Linked DNA regions of Anolis sagrei. The protein of the gene in region 2 interacts with the protein of the main gene of each other region in a pairwise test. Links are inferred from orthologs where the notes say so. Each region holds a gene or a part of one and is shown on either strand. Other genes may lie near its edges.

The links.
Region 1: the proteins of UBQLN1 (region 2) and FZD7 interact in binary tests that used the Homo sapiens proteins (3 or more experiments, as listed by UniProt). The two-hybrid records come from large-scale screens. The link is inferred for Anolis sagrei from reciprocal best matches to the Homo sapiens genes UBQLN1 and FZD7.

What each region holds. Positions count from the first base shown.
Region 1 is NC_090021.1:165,057,253-165,064,455, reverse strand, and holds the start of FZD7 (frizzled-7), read right to left. Parts: upstream 3,049-7,203; 5' UTR 2,555-3,048; coding exon 818-2,554; 3' UTR 1-817. UniProt on the Homo sapiens protein: Receptor for Wnt proteins.
Region 2 is NC_090022.1:228,697,253-228,705,160, forward strand, and holds the start of UBQLN1 (ubiquilin-1), read right to left. Parts: upstream 3,045-7,908; 5' UTR 2,716-3,044; coding exon 2,560-2,715; intron 1-2,559. UniProt on the Homo sapiens protein: Plays an important role in the regulation of different protein degradation mechanisms and pathways including ubiquitin-proteasome system (UPS), autophagy and endoplasmic reticulum-associated protein degradation (ERAD) pathway.

The sequences.
Region 1 (7,203 bases), on a different chromosome or scaffold from region 2:
CCAGAATCCAATGGCCACCAGTTGGAGATGCCATCCAAAACAGTAATTATAATTATTTTAACTAGAGTTTTCAGAGCATCTCTGCCTTTGGGTTCTGGAAATTGTCATCCATATGTGACTACCACCCACTCCCCTATAATATCCAGAATCCTCCCAACCAGGATAGCTACTGATGGGGAAATTTTCGGAGCAGCTGCTCCATTTCTGTCCCTTGTACAAAGGGCTGGGAGGGAGGCAATGCACCTCTTGGGTCTATATTTTGAGAGGATGAGTTACTGGAAGTCCAGTTTGCCATCCCAGAGACAGAAATGTGACTTAATTTCTGTTTTGTTTGTAAACCTTCACTTCTCCCTCCCTCTCCTTTCCCGTTGGCATAATTCCCACATTTCTCTTTGAATCGCATTTTCAGTTATTTGTCTTTCTTCTTTTTCTTTTCTAAAAGGGGTTGGGGTGCAGGGTGGGGGGAACAAGTAGAGGAAAGTAAAGACATTCTCACAGGATCAGAAACAGACCTGTTCTGAAGAGCAAAGTCTTAAGAAGGACACTTATTCTGCACTCTCCAACTTGGCTAGCAAGGTAAACATTTGAAGAGAAAGAGAGACCAAGTTGGAATGTTTGCCGCACGTAGAAATCCAACCATCCCTTGGAAAGAGGAAAAGGCAGAGTATGAAGGAACAACGGACCCCTTTGCACGTACGCAAACACACACACATCACAGCCACCCTCCCTCTTTCCTTCAGGCAATGCCTTCGCCACAAGAAGGAAGAGCAGCCGTGTGGGAAAGGACCGGCAAACTATAGGAGTACAAGTCTAGGTCTCATACTGCCGTCTCCCCTTTGCTCCCAGTGCTGAGTCTGTGGTAGAAGCGCCGCCAAGACTGGAGGGTCTTGCCAGTCCAAATCCAGAAGCCGGTGGTGATGCCCACAATCATGGTCATGAGATACTTGATGAGGAAGACTGTGAAGTCAGGGCTCATGGGGGCGAAGTTGGCGGCAGGGCAAGTGATGGCGTAGCTCTTGCAGTTCTGCAGGAGCCAGGTCTTCTCCCAGGTGTCCTGGAAGGCCTGCTCGTAGAAGTAGCAGGCCAGCACGATGGTGGCCGGCACGGTGTAGAGGACGCTGAAGACCCCGATACGCACCATCAGCTTCTCCAGCTTCTCAGTCTTGGTGCCGTCGTGCTTCATGATGGTCCGGATGCGGAAGAGGGAGACAAAGCCGGCCAGCAGGAAGGAGGTGCCAATGAAGAGGTAGACGAAGAGTGGGGCCAGGACGAAGCCCCGCAGGGCGTCCACGCTGTAGAGGCCCACATAGCACACCCCGCTGAGGACGTCTCCATCCACCTGCCCCATGGCCAGGATGGTGATGGTCTTGATGGCTGGCACAGCCCAGGCGGCCAAGTGGAAGTACTGGGAGTTGGCCTCAATGGCCTCGTGGCCCCACTTCATGCCTGCCGCCAGGAACCAGGTGAGTGAGAGGATGACCCACCAGATGGAGCTGGCCATGCCAAAGAAGTAGAGGATCATGAAGAGGATGGTGCAGCCCTCCTTCTTGGTGCCCTGCACCACTGTCCGGAAGCCATCCTCCGAGAAGCGCTCCACGCACACCACACGGTCCTCTAGCAGGAAGCCAGCCACATAGGCCACAGCCACCATGAAGTAGCAGCCAGAGAGGAAGATGATGGGCCGTTCGGGGTAGCTGAAGCGCCGCATGTCCACCAAGTAAGTCAAGACGGTGAAGAGCGTGGAAGCGCAGCAAAGCACCGACCAGATGCCCACGAGCAGGCGGGCAAAGCGGACCTCGGCCTGCTTGAAGTACATGAGTCCTCCGTTGGGCAGGTCAGGATCGCATGGGGCGCCACAATCCCGCTCACCTAGGAAGCGGTAGCCCAGGTACGGGGGCACCTTGAGCTGCCGGGGACAGGAGAAGGTGAAGGTGGCGTGACCGGTGGTGGGAGGCAGTGGGTGAACAGGGGGTCCGGGTAAGTGTTCTGTGGGGTACGAGGCGGTGGCAGGGCTCCCCGGGGCGACGCCTGCTCCACGCCCTCCTCCCCCGGAGGATGAGGTGTCGGAGGTGTTCTGTCCCACGCAGATCTCCCCAGCGCCGTGGACGGGGAAGTTCTCACAGCGCAGGCGCTCGGGCCACTGGAAGCCAAACTTGTTCATGAGGGCCTCGCAGCCGTGGCGGGCCCTCTCGCAGAGGGAGCGGCAGGGCGGGATGGCTTGCTCCAGGACGGTGCAGACCGGGGCGTACATGGAGCAGAGGAAGAAGCGCAGCTCCGGGGAGCACTGCACCTTGACCAGCGGGTAGAACTGGTGCACCTCCAGGCCGGCATCCTCCTGGCTGGTGTGGCCCAGCAGGTTGGGCAGGATGGTCTGGTTGTAGGCAATGTCGGTGCACAAGGGGATGGAGATGGGCTGGCAGAAGCCGTGGTCCGGCACCGAGATGCCCTTCTCGCCCTGCGAAGAAGAAGAAGAAGGCTGCCCACGGCTGGCATGGGGCATCAGCCAAGCTAAGGCCAGCAGACCCCACAGGCCCATGGCTGCTGCCCTGAGCATTGGGGGATGGGGAAGAGGCCAAAGAGGAGGAGGATGCCGGAGGATTGTCAGAGGATGGTGCTGCTGCTTCTCCCACTCAGGGCCCCGAAGGCATCGCCCACTCAGCAGCAGGAGGAGCCTTCCAGAAGAAGCCAAACCGGATCGCTGCCTGTTTGGACTCCCGCCAGGAGGGAGAAGCACCAGGGCGCCTCTCCAAAGCCAAAGCAGGTCTCCCCTCGGTCTCTCCTTCTCGGCACCCTTGGAAGACCCACCTCCAAAAGTTTCCTCGCGTGGAGAAGCCCCGCACTCCCAAGAGCGCCCTTCCTCCTCCTCCTCCGGGACTTCTCGGCAGCTTCTCCTCGCTTTTGAATGCAAAGGCTCCAAGGGAAGCCGCTTGGGAGTCTCCCTCCGCCTGGCGATCGCTCCCTCGGCCCCTCCGCAGGGATCCAGATCCAGAGAAGGAATGCGCCCTGAGACCTCCCTCCTCCTCCTCCTTCTCTCTCTCTCTCTCTCTCTCTCTGCGAGGGAAAAAAAGGCTCCTATATGGCTGAGCGTTCTCTCTAGCCCCGCCCCTTTCTCCCCTTCTCCATTCACAAGACCGAGAAGGGGGCGGCGTCTCCGAACCCTTGCTCCGGCCAATGGCGCGCTCTGTTGTCTCCACAACTCGGCTCCGGATTGGGCAGGGCGATCAAAGGAGGGGAGGGGCGGGGAGGAATGTGGGCGGGGCCTGCCTTAGGAGGATTCCATCGCTGGAAAAGTTGAAAGAAACTTTTTCGCCCAGGGTTGGCTGAATGGAGATGGAGGGAAGCAACGCAGAACAAGAGGAGGAAGGGGAGCCCGTTGGTCTTCCTTCTTCACACAGAGAGAGATATATATATCCTATGTACCTAATATTTTACATATAGATACTATATAAATATTACATATATATATATCCTAATATTTTACATATAGATACTATATTAATATTATAGATATACATATATACTATATATACTATATATATCCTACCTAATATATACATATATCCTATATAAATCTCTCTCTCTCTCTCTCTCTCTATATATATATCCTACCTGATATTTTACATATATATGCTATAGAAATGTTATATAAATACATACATATGATATATATATATATATATCCTACGTAATATTTTACATATACATCCTATAGAAATATTATATAAATACATATGATATATATATCCTACATAATATTTACATATATATCCTATAGAAATATTATATTTATATATATCCTACATAATATTATATATATATATCCTATAGAAATCTCCTATATATATATATATCTCCTATGTAATATTTTACATATCTATCCTATAGAAATATTATATATATATTCTATATATGCCCTACCTAATATTATATATATATATTCTATATAAATATTATATATATACATATTATATATATATCCTATGTAATATTTTACATATCTATCCTATAGAAATATTATATATATATATTTATATATATATTTATCCTACCTAATATTTTACATATATATCCTATATAAATCTCCTAGAAAAATACATATATATATATACTATATATATCCTACCTAATATTTTACATATATATCCTATAGAAATGTTATACATATACATATGATATATATATCCTATGTAATATTTTACATATACATCCTATATAAATATTATATAAATACATATATATATCTTACATAATATTTTACATATATATCCTATATAAATATTATATATATATCCTACCTAATATTATATATATATTCTATATAAATCTCCTATATATATATATATATATCCTATGTAATATTTTACAAATATATCCTATATAAATATTATATATATATATACACATATTATATATATATATATATATATATATATATCCTATGTAATATTTTACATATCTATTCTATAGAAATATTATATATATATATATATATATATATATATATATATATATAAATCCTACCTAATATTTTAAAGAGCCCCGGTGGCACAGTGGGTTAAAGCAGGTTCGAATCCGGGTAGCAGTGTGAGCTTCCACTGTTAGCCCCAGCTTCTGTCAACCTAACAGTTCGAAAACATGCAAATGTGAGTAGATCTATAGGTACCGCTCCGGTGGGAAGGTAACGGTGCTCCATGCAGTCATACTGTCCGCATGACTTTGGAGGTGTCTACAGACAACGCCGGCTCTTCGACTTAGAAATGGAGATGAGCACCACACCCCAGAGTCGGACACGACTGGACTTCATGTCAGGGGAAAATCTTTACCTTTACCTACCTAATATTTTACATATATATCCTATATAAATATTATATAAATATATATATTCTATATATAACATTACATTATATGTGTGTGTGTGTGTGCATATATATATATATATATATATATATATCCTATGTACCTAACATTTTACATATATATCCTATATAAATATTATATAAATATATATTATATATAACCTAGTATTTTACACACACACACAATATATATATTGTCATGTCAGGAGCAGGAGCATCCTGTTGTGAGAGAATTGGCTGTCTGCAAGGACGTTGCCCAGGGGACGCCAGATGATTTTTGATGTTTTATCATCCTTGTGGGAGGCTTCTCTCATGTCCCCGCATGAGGAGCTGGAGCTGATAGAGGGAGCTCATCCGCCTCTCCCCGGATTCGAACCTGCAACCTGCCGGTCTTCAGTCCTGCCGGCACAGGGGTTTAACCCACTGCGCCACCGGGGGCTCCCACATATATATATATATATATATATATATATATATATATAATATGTAAAATATTAATATTTGTAATGTTTTTATTCCAGCAAGAGCAGCTATTTTTGTTGTTGCTGTTATGTTATGTTCTGTTCTTATATGTTTTCAGTCATTGCAATAGTTCTATTTTAAGCTATGTTAATTTGACCTATGTAGTATATTTTGGATATTGTTTTAACAGTTACTTGCTGTAAGCCACCCTGAGTCCCTTCTGCGAGAGAGGGCGGGATATAAATCAAACCTATTATTATTTTATTATTATTTACAACAAACTCCCATTGCTCCATCCTTTGCACAATAACATCCTATAAGATCAGGATCTACCCTCAGGGTGGTCCAAAATACTGTTTGTTAAAATTATCATTAGTTAAATGCATGCATGAAGCTCCTCTCCTTTCTCCTCCCCTACCAGGGCCAGGAAATGTATTATAGATTGGACTGTTGGGGGGCAGGGGGAATAGGATGTGATTTGAATATATAGAAAGAAGGAAGGGCAGGAAAAATGTTCAGAATTAATAAAAAGGAAGGCTATGCTGAAGGGTGAACTGAGTGAGGCTTGAAGCAGTTTTTTTTTAAAAAAATGCGTACACTATATATTGGATTTTGTCTGGGAGAACAATTATTTCTCTGCAAATCAATTGATCCATGGTGCGCAGCTGCCCTCTTGATGTCAAACAGATAAACAAATTTAACCTTGAGCAGCTCCTTTTTTAAAAAAAATGGTAATCTCACAGAAGTGCAGACACTCACTCCTTCCTTCGACATCTTATCTTTCAGAAATGTTATTTTACCGAAATTCAGCTATACAAAGCGCTTAAAGCTCCTTCCCCTTGCCATATTAGCTTTAGTTTATATCTGGAATAGTGTTTGCAGATTTGGTTTAGTTTCTGGGTCCTCAATGAGACAATAGTAATGGAGAGGGGTTTTATTTGTGCCAGGAGCAACTTGAGAATCTGCAAGTCGTTTCTGGTGTGAGAGAATTGGCTGTCTGCTAGGTTGTTGCCTAGAGGTTGCCCGGATGTTTTACTTTCCTGTGGGAGGCTTCTCTCATGCCCCTGCATGAGAAGTTGGATCTGACAGATGGGAACTTACCCTGCTCCCTGGATTCGAACCGCCGACCTTTTGGTCAGCAGGCCTCCCAGCACAAGGGTTTAACCCATTGCACCACTGGAGGCTCCAGTCAGGAGTAAATAGCCTGAAGAAGGCAGCCTCCATGTTTTGTGAAGACATGATGGCTTCCATCATAATTTCACCTTTTAGTGGTCTGAGCATTGGTCTGGAGATTGGGGTTCGGATCCCAACTCAACCATTTAAACCTTCTGAGGTCCCTTCCACACTGCCATATAAAATCAAGATGATCTGATTTGAACTTAATTATATGGCAGTGTAGACTCATAAATAATAATAATAGTAATAGTAATAATAATAATAATAATAATAAGCTGACACGATATGAGGATTTAAAGATCGAACTACAAAGACTCTGGCACAAGCCAGTCAAGATGGTCCCAGTGGTGATTGGCACACTGGGTGCAGTGCCTAAAGACCTTGGCCTGCACTTAAACACAATCGGCGCTGACAAAATGACCATCTGCCAGCTGCAAAAGGCCACCTTACTGGGATCTGCACCCATTATTCGCCGATACATCACACAGTCCTAGACACTTGGGAAGTGTCCAACGTGTGATCCAATTCAACAGCCAGCAGAGTGTCTGCTGTGGACTCCTTGTTGTGTTTCTAATAATAATAATAATTATTATTATTATTATTATTTATTTATTTATTTACTGTATTTGCATACCATCTTTCTCAGCCAATTGGCGACTCAAGGCAGTTTCCAACAAATCAGTATACATAAAGCAAGCCCAGGAAGTTA
Region 2 (7,908 bases):
AACAAAACTCATTTATATTTCATGCACATCTTCTAACACATAGCTTGAAAGTAATTTTTACATAATATTTTGCATAATTTGGTGCATGAACCAAGTTTGTGTACACCGAATCACCAGAAAGCAAAAGTGTGCCATCTCAGCCCCCCTTGTGGACAACTGTAGATGTTGGAGCATTTGGGGTAAGGGATGATCAACCTATCCCAAGCCTGCCAGATTTGAAATCATGGCGACCCTCCCACTGAAGCTAGCTGGTCTCTCTCCCTGTCCGCCTGGCTCCTTTGTGTCCTCCTCTAGACAAAGGCAACCCTTCTTTGCGGTCATTTTGCGATTCCAGCACCAGGTGTTTTTCATCCCGTTAGCTCTACAAATGCTATCTCATTTTAAAACATAAAGGAAATGGGGGTGGGGGATCTAGAATAATCCCCTTTATAGCAAACTTTCTGGGCCTGTGGAGCAGTCGAATGCCTATCAGTGGAGGCACAAAGTAGGTAAGCGATTTCTTCATGCTCACTGTTGGACAAAATCCACAAATTAGAATGTTATATAAAAACAAATGAATGCCAACACCAAAAACAAAACAAAACAAAACAAAAAAAGCCCTGGAAGAGTATTAAATGAAAAAAGCTGAAGACCTGGCTCTGCGCACAAGCGTTTGAAGAATAAGTTTCTACAGTTTCAACACAGTCTGGATTAAGGATTATGAGCAGGGCTTTGTATGAAGAGAACAATGTACTTTATATGCTTTTTAAAATTTGTATGCTGTTTTATGTGTATTATTGCTTAATGTTAATTGTTTTTAAGTGTTTTAAAGTTTTATTGTTATTGCTGGGGGTTTTTTGCCTTAGTTGTAAGCCGCCTTGAGTCCCCTTTGGGTGAGAGAGGTGGGGCAGAAATGAGTTGAATAAATAATAAATATTATGCTCTTTAGGCTTTTTCATGGGCCCTGCTTTTACTCGGGAGTAGCTCCCTTGAACAATGTCACCCTGGTGCCACTCATTCATACCCAAGTGAAAACGACAGAGGGAGGAGAGTGCCTCTGTCTACATCAGGTATGGGCCAACTTGGGCCCTCCAGGAGTTTTGGACTTCAACTTCCACCATTACGCAAAAGATGTGGCTCGTGGCTGTTAGGAATGGAAAGGAAGGGGTCCGAGGCTGTTAGGAATGGAAAGGGAGGGCCCGAGGTTGTTAGAAATAGCACTTCAAGGAACAAGACAGACTGGAAACAAGTTACAGCATACTTAACAAAAAGGAATGTGAAAATACTTATTTAAGAAAAACAAGAAAGCAATGGACAAAACGAAGAAAGGGAGAAAAAGAAAAGAAAAAATAAAGAAAAAAGAAAGGAAAGGGAAAGAACCTCATAGAAGATACTGGGAAGTCTGAAAATCTACATTCTTATTTATTTTATTCTATCCATTTCTACATCTTTCATACTCACGATTTCATACCCCCTCCCCCCCCAGCCCTAACTTTACTCGACCTTTAACCTTTCTCTTTTCCCTTTAAACACTATTATTCCTAATCCAATCCACACTTCTACTTTTATATACATATCTCTATCTGAAGCTCTTTGATATTTTTACCATAACTTTGTGTTTTTGGGGGGGGGGGATCTAAATAAAAATTATTTTAAAATAAAGAAATGGAAAGGAAGGGGTGTGAGGCTGTTAGGAATGGAAAGGATGGGGTCTGAGGCTGTTTAGGAATGAAAAGGAAGGGGTCTGGAGCTGTTAGGAATGGAAAGGAAGGGGTTTGAGGCTGTTAGGAATGGAAAGGAAGGGGACTGAAGCTGTTAGGAATGAAAAGGAAGGGGTCTGAGGCTGTTGGAAATGGAAAGGAAGGGGTCTGAGGCTGTTAGGAATGAAAAGGAAGGGGTCTGAAGCTGTTAGGAATGGAAAGGAAGGGGTCTGAGGCTGTTAGGAATGAAAAGGAAGGGGTCTGAAGCTGTTAGGAATGAAAAGGAAGGGGTCTGAAGCTGTTAGGAATGAAAAGGAAGGGGTCTGGGGCTGTTAGAAATGGAAAGGAAGGGGTCTGAGGCTGTTAGGAATGGAAAGGAAGAGGCCCGAGGCTTTTAGGATTGGTCCAAAACGCCTGGAGGGCTCAAGTTAGCCCATGCCTGGTCAACACACTAAAATTAATACAGTAGGCCGCACATTGTGGGATCATGGGAGTTGGAGCCTTCTCTGCCTCAGAGTGGGGCGCCTCACCCGACCACAACTCGGACGAGTCCACAGCACGGAGCCCCGGGAGTTGAAAGCGGTGCCGAGCCGCGTCCATTCCCCAGTGTAGAGATTGAGGCCTCCCTCCCTCCCTCTCTCTGATGAGGCAATTGCTCCTCCCGCGTCAGCACTTCGGAGGCCGGTGACGAGGCAAAGGCCCCGCGCGGAAGCCAGCGGCGCGAGGAGGAAGGGAGAGAGAACATGGTCGCCGGTTCCATACACACACACACACACACACAAAATACCCCTTCACACAAGGCACACACTCCGCTCTGAGGCACCAGCCACGCCCCTCCCTCCCTCCTTAGCTGGCTCTCTCTCTCTCTCTCTCCTCTCACCTGCCGGATGCTGCTGGTCTCCGGCACGGCGAATTCCTCCTTCTCCTTCGGGGTCTTCACGGTGACTTTAATGATCCGCGGCTCAGTGGCGGCGGCGGCGGCAGGGGCGGGATGGCTCTCGCCGGGGCCCTGGGGGCTCTCGCCGCCCTCAGACATGGCGCGCGGGCCGACAGACGGAGGAGAAGCCGCCTCCGCTCGTTAAAGCCAGGCCGCGCGGAGAATGCCGGGTAACGCCGACCCTCCCTCCCTTCCTCCTCTTCGTCGCCTTCTTCTTCTTCCCCTCCTCGGCCCCCTTCCTCCTCCTCCTCCTCTTCCCTCGCGCACACCCCGACGCGCGACTCAGCTTTCTCTCCCAGAGTTCAACGGAAACAGTCCGGCTCGGCTACTACGGCGCCTGGTGATGACGTCAGGGGTCGGGGAAGTTGCTAGAAAAAAGGGGAGCGGGGTTGGTAAGAGAGAAAGAGAGAGAGAGGCGCAGGCGCGCATGTGCACAACGGAGAGGAACAAAAGGCTCCCCCCCCTCCCCGCGCCTCGGAGGTGCCGAGGTCACTGCGCACGCGCGGCTGGGGCGGAAAGCCCCCGCTGGCATTGTCAGGCGGGCGGATGCTCTGCGCCTGCGCAGAAAAAAACTTTTCGGCTGCTCGCAGTGGCGTAGTTAGTTACTCTCTGGTGCGTTGTGTGGTGGGATACAGGCCGGGGCAAACGTGGGTCCTCTTTGGCGTTTTGGACTTCAATTCCCACAATTCCTAACAGCCTCAGGCTCCTTCCTTTCCTCAGCTTAAGCGGCTGAGGGGGAAAAGGAAGGGGCCTCTTAGGAATGGTGGGAATTGAAGTCCAAACACCCGGAGAGCCCAAGTTTGCCCAGGCCAGGTGGAAACTTCGTGGGAGATATATATTAATCATTTATTTTTAGTGTCAGAAGCAAATGGAGAAGAATAATCATAATAATAAATGATATATATTATTATAATATCATAAAATTATAATGTATCATAATATAATAATTATATATATTATAAAATTGTAATATAATGATATAATATATCATATTATAATCATTATATAATATTAATATAATGATATAATGTATTATAATAATATAATAAAGCTTGGGAAGTGTTCAACTTGTGATTTTGTGATTCGAAATCCAGCATATAGATCTCGTTTGCTGTGACATTCTGTGTTTTTGTGTCAGTAAAAATATAATAATGACAAGAGTTTGGAGCACAATACTCCGACCTCACGATCATGTTATGGGTCATCGATGTTGCAATCCCAGGCGACAGCAGGATTGGAGAAACAACTGGAAAAGCTGACATGAGGATTTAAAGACTGAACTGCAAAGACTTGGGCACAAGCCAGTCATGGTGGTCCCAGTGGTGATTGGCACACTGGGTGCCGTGCCTAAAGACCTTGGCCTGCACTTAAACACAGTCGGCACTGACAAAATTACCATCTGTCAGCTGCAAAAGGCCACCATACTGGGATCTGCATACATTATTGTGGACTTCAACTCCCACAATTCCGAACAGCCAGCTGAAGTCCAAAACATCTGGAGGGCCCATTTGCTCATGCCTGGTATAGAAGCCCCCTAAACTGAGATTGCCGTATCTGAAGAATACATGACTCACAACAATGAAAAGTAGAAGGCAGTAAATGAGGAAACCTGTATCACAAATTGATAGACTCAGTCAAGGAAGACATGTCCCGAATCTGCAAGAGCTGTGCAGGGTGGCTAACCTTGTGCAGGATTAATAGAGTTAAATTGAGACATCTCATTCATAGGATCACCATAAGTCAAAGCAGATGGTAGTTAACAACAGCCATACTGATGGAGAAATTTCAGCAGCTGCCCCCCGCTTTCCTTTGAAACAAACTGAAAATTTGGGACTATAACTTCCATCAAACCTAATTAATACATCTTATATCCTGTAGTAAGAAAAGATGGTATAAACATTGTTTTAGTCTAAAATATCTGGAGGATCATACTCTGATAATATGATCTGAATAAAAATATCTATAAATTGACTAATTGTTGGCATTTAACACATTTAATGTGTGCTAAAATGCATAGAGGATCTAATTACTACGGTCTCCCTACCTGAGCTAGCGGGGGTGGTCTCGAGCCTGGCATTGGAGTCTCAACGGCTTCTTGTACTGGGGGACTTCAATGTACATGCCGAGACTACACTAGGAGGAGCGGCTCAGGACTTCATGTCATCCATGGCAACCATGGGGCTGTCCCAACGAGTATCTGGCCCACCCACTGTGCGGGACACACATTGGATCTGGTTTTCTGTCAGGGATGGGAGCAAGGTGGCGGTGTCGAGGAGTTATCCACTTCTCCGTTGCCATGGACCGACCACTATCTGGTCAGATTTAGACTCACCACACCTCCCAACCTCTGCAGAGGTGGGGGACCCATTAAGATGGTCCGCCCCAGGAGGCTTATGGATCCGAATGGATTCCTGATGGCTCTTGGGGATTTTCCTGCCACCTCGGTTGGTGATCCTGTTGAAGCCCTGGTGTCTCTCTGGAATGGGGAGATGACTAGGGCCATAAACACGATTGTTCCGGAACGTCCCCTCTCAAGTAGCCGAGCTAAACCAGCACCTTGGTTCAACGAGGAGCTGGCAGCGATGAAGCGAAGGAAGAGGAGACTAGAGCGCGTGTGGCGTTCGGACCCGAGCGAGTTAAATCGAACACGGTTTGTTGCCCTACTAAGGGCATACGCCGTGGCAATAAAGGCGGCAAAGAAAGCCTTCTTTGCGGCCAATATTGCGTCCGCAAAGAACCATCCGGCGGAGCTGTTTCGAGTTGTCAGAGGGCTATTGAACCCCACCATTCCGGATGGGAACCCTGACAACTCGACGGCCCGCTGTGAAGCATTTGCTCGGTTCTTTGCGGACAAAGTCGCTTTGATCCGCTCTGGCCTGGATACCACGTTAACGGCAGTCTCTGAGGATGTAACACGAGCATCTGCTTGTCCGATTTTGATGGATTCATTTCAATTGGTGAAACCCGAGGATGTGGACAAGATACTTGGAGGAATGAGAGCTACCACATGCATCCTAGACCCCTGCCCATCCTGGCTTCTAAAGGAGGCCAGAGGGGGATTGGCCGAGTGGGTGGAGGTGGTGGTTAATGCCTCCCTTCGGGAAGGCAAAATTCCAGCCAGCTTAAAACAAGCTGTAATAAAACCGCTGTTGAAAAAACCATCACTAGACCCCACTCAATTCGTCAACTATCGGCCTGTTTCCAATCTTCCCTTTTTGAGCAAAGTCCTGGAACGTGTGGTGGCCTCACAACTCCAGGTATTCTTGGTAGACACGGATTATCTGGATCCGGCACAGTCTGGTTTTAGGCCAGGACATGGTACCGAGACAGCCCTGGTCGCCTTAGTGGATGATCTCCGCAGGGAGCTCGACAGGGGGAGTGAGTCCCTGTTGGTCCTGCTGGATCTCTCAGCGGCCTTCGATACCGTCGACCACGGTATCCTTCTGGGACGCCTCGCGGGAATGGGCCTTGGTGGCACTGTTTTACAGTGGCTCAGGTCCTTCCTAGAGGGTCGTACCCAGAAGGTGTTGATGGGGGACAGCTGCTCGTCCTCACAACCATTGTTTTGTGGGGTCCCGCAGGGTTCAATACTGTCCCCCATGTTGTTTAACATCTACATGAAGCCGTTGGGAGAGATCATCCGGAGTTTCGGGGTGCGGTGTTATCTGTACGCAGATGATGTCCAACTCTGTCACTCCTTCCCACCTACTTCTAAGGAGGCTGTTCAGGTCCTGAACCGGTGCTTGGCCGCTGTGTCGGACTGGATGAGGGTGAACAAATTGAAATTGAATCCAGACAAGACAGAGGCACTCCTGGTCAGTCGAAAGGCCGAACGGGGCATAGGGTTACAGCCTGTGTTGGACGGGGTTACACTCCCCCTGAAGACGCAGGTTCGCAGCTTGGGTGTGACCCTGGATTCATCGCTGAGCCTGGAGCCTCAGGTCTCGGCGGTGGCCAGGGGAGCATTTGCACAGCTCCGGCTCGTGCGCCAGCTGCGCCCGTACCTCGGGAAGTCTGACTTGGCCACGGTAGTCCACGCTCTGGTCACATCCCGTATAGATTACTGCAACGCGCTTTACGTGGGGCTGCCCTTGAAGACTGCCCGGAAGCTTCAGATGGTCCAGCGCTCGGCAGCCAGGTTGCTAACAGGAGCAGCTCTCAGGGAGCATACCACTCCTCTGTTGAGCCAGCTCCACTGGCTGCCAATTTCCTACCGGGCACAATTCAAGGTGCTGGCGCTAGCCTACAAAGCCCTAAACGGTTCTGGCCCCACCTACCTCTCCGAACGCATCTCCACCTATGAACCGACATGGACATTAAGATCGTCCGGGGAGACCCTGCTCTCGGTTCCGCCTGCGTCGCAGGCACGGTTGGCGGGAACGAGAGACAGGGCCTTCTCGGTGGTGGCCCCTCGGTTATGGAATGCCCTACGCAATGACATCAGACAGGCCCCTTCGCTGCTGGCGTTTCGGAAGAAGCTCAAAACCTGGCTCTTTGAGCAAGCGTTTGGCTAATTAGCGCAATTGAATACAGGATGACGGTAAACTGAACATAGGAACGGCATAAGGATATGAGACTGGATCTTGTTTGTGATCGAGGCACTATGTATGAGTGTTGTATGTTTGCTATTGTGTATGCTGAGTTTTAATTGTTATTGCTGTGTTAATTAATATTGTGTAAACCGCATTGAGTCACCTAATTTGGTTGAGAAACGCGGTATAGAAATAAAGCAAATAAATAAATAATAAATTAATTAATGTTTGAAGAATAAACAACATATGGGATCTTTTTACCATGTGTGGTGGACTTGCAGAGCAGTCAAAAGTTCTGTTGCCAAAGACATAACGTGATATTTAAAAATCTTGAAATTTAATTTTCATTGAAACCTGAACTGTATAATTAAGCTTTTGCACAATTAAAGCTTGTGCGCCAGCTGCGCCCGTACCTTGGGAAGTCTGACTTGGCCACGGTGGTCCACGCTCTGGTTACATCCCATATTGACTGCTGCAACGCTCTATACGTGGGGTTGCCTCTGAAGACTGCCCAGAAGCTGAAATTAGTCCAACGTTCGGCAGCCAGATTACTAACCGGAGCAGGGTACAGAGAGCGCACAATTCCTTTGTTATACCAGCTCCACTGACTGCCAATTAGCTTCCGAGCACAATTCAAAATGCTGGTTTTAACCTACAAAACCCTATACGGTTCCGGCCCGGTTTACCTGTCTGAATGTATTCCCCCTTATGAACCATCAAGACAAATAAGATCTTCTGGTGGGGGGCTGCTCTCGGTCCT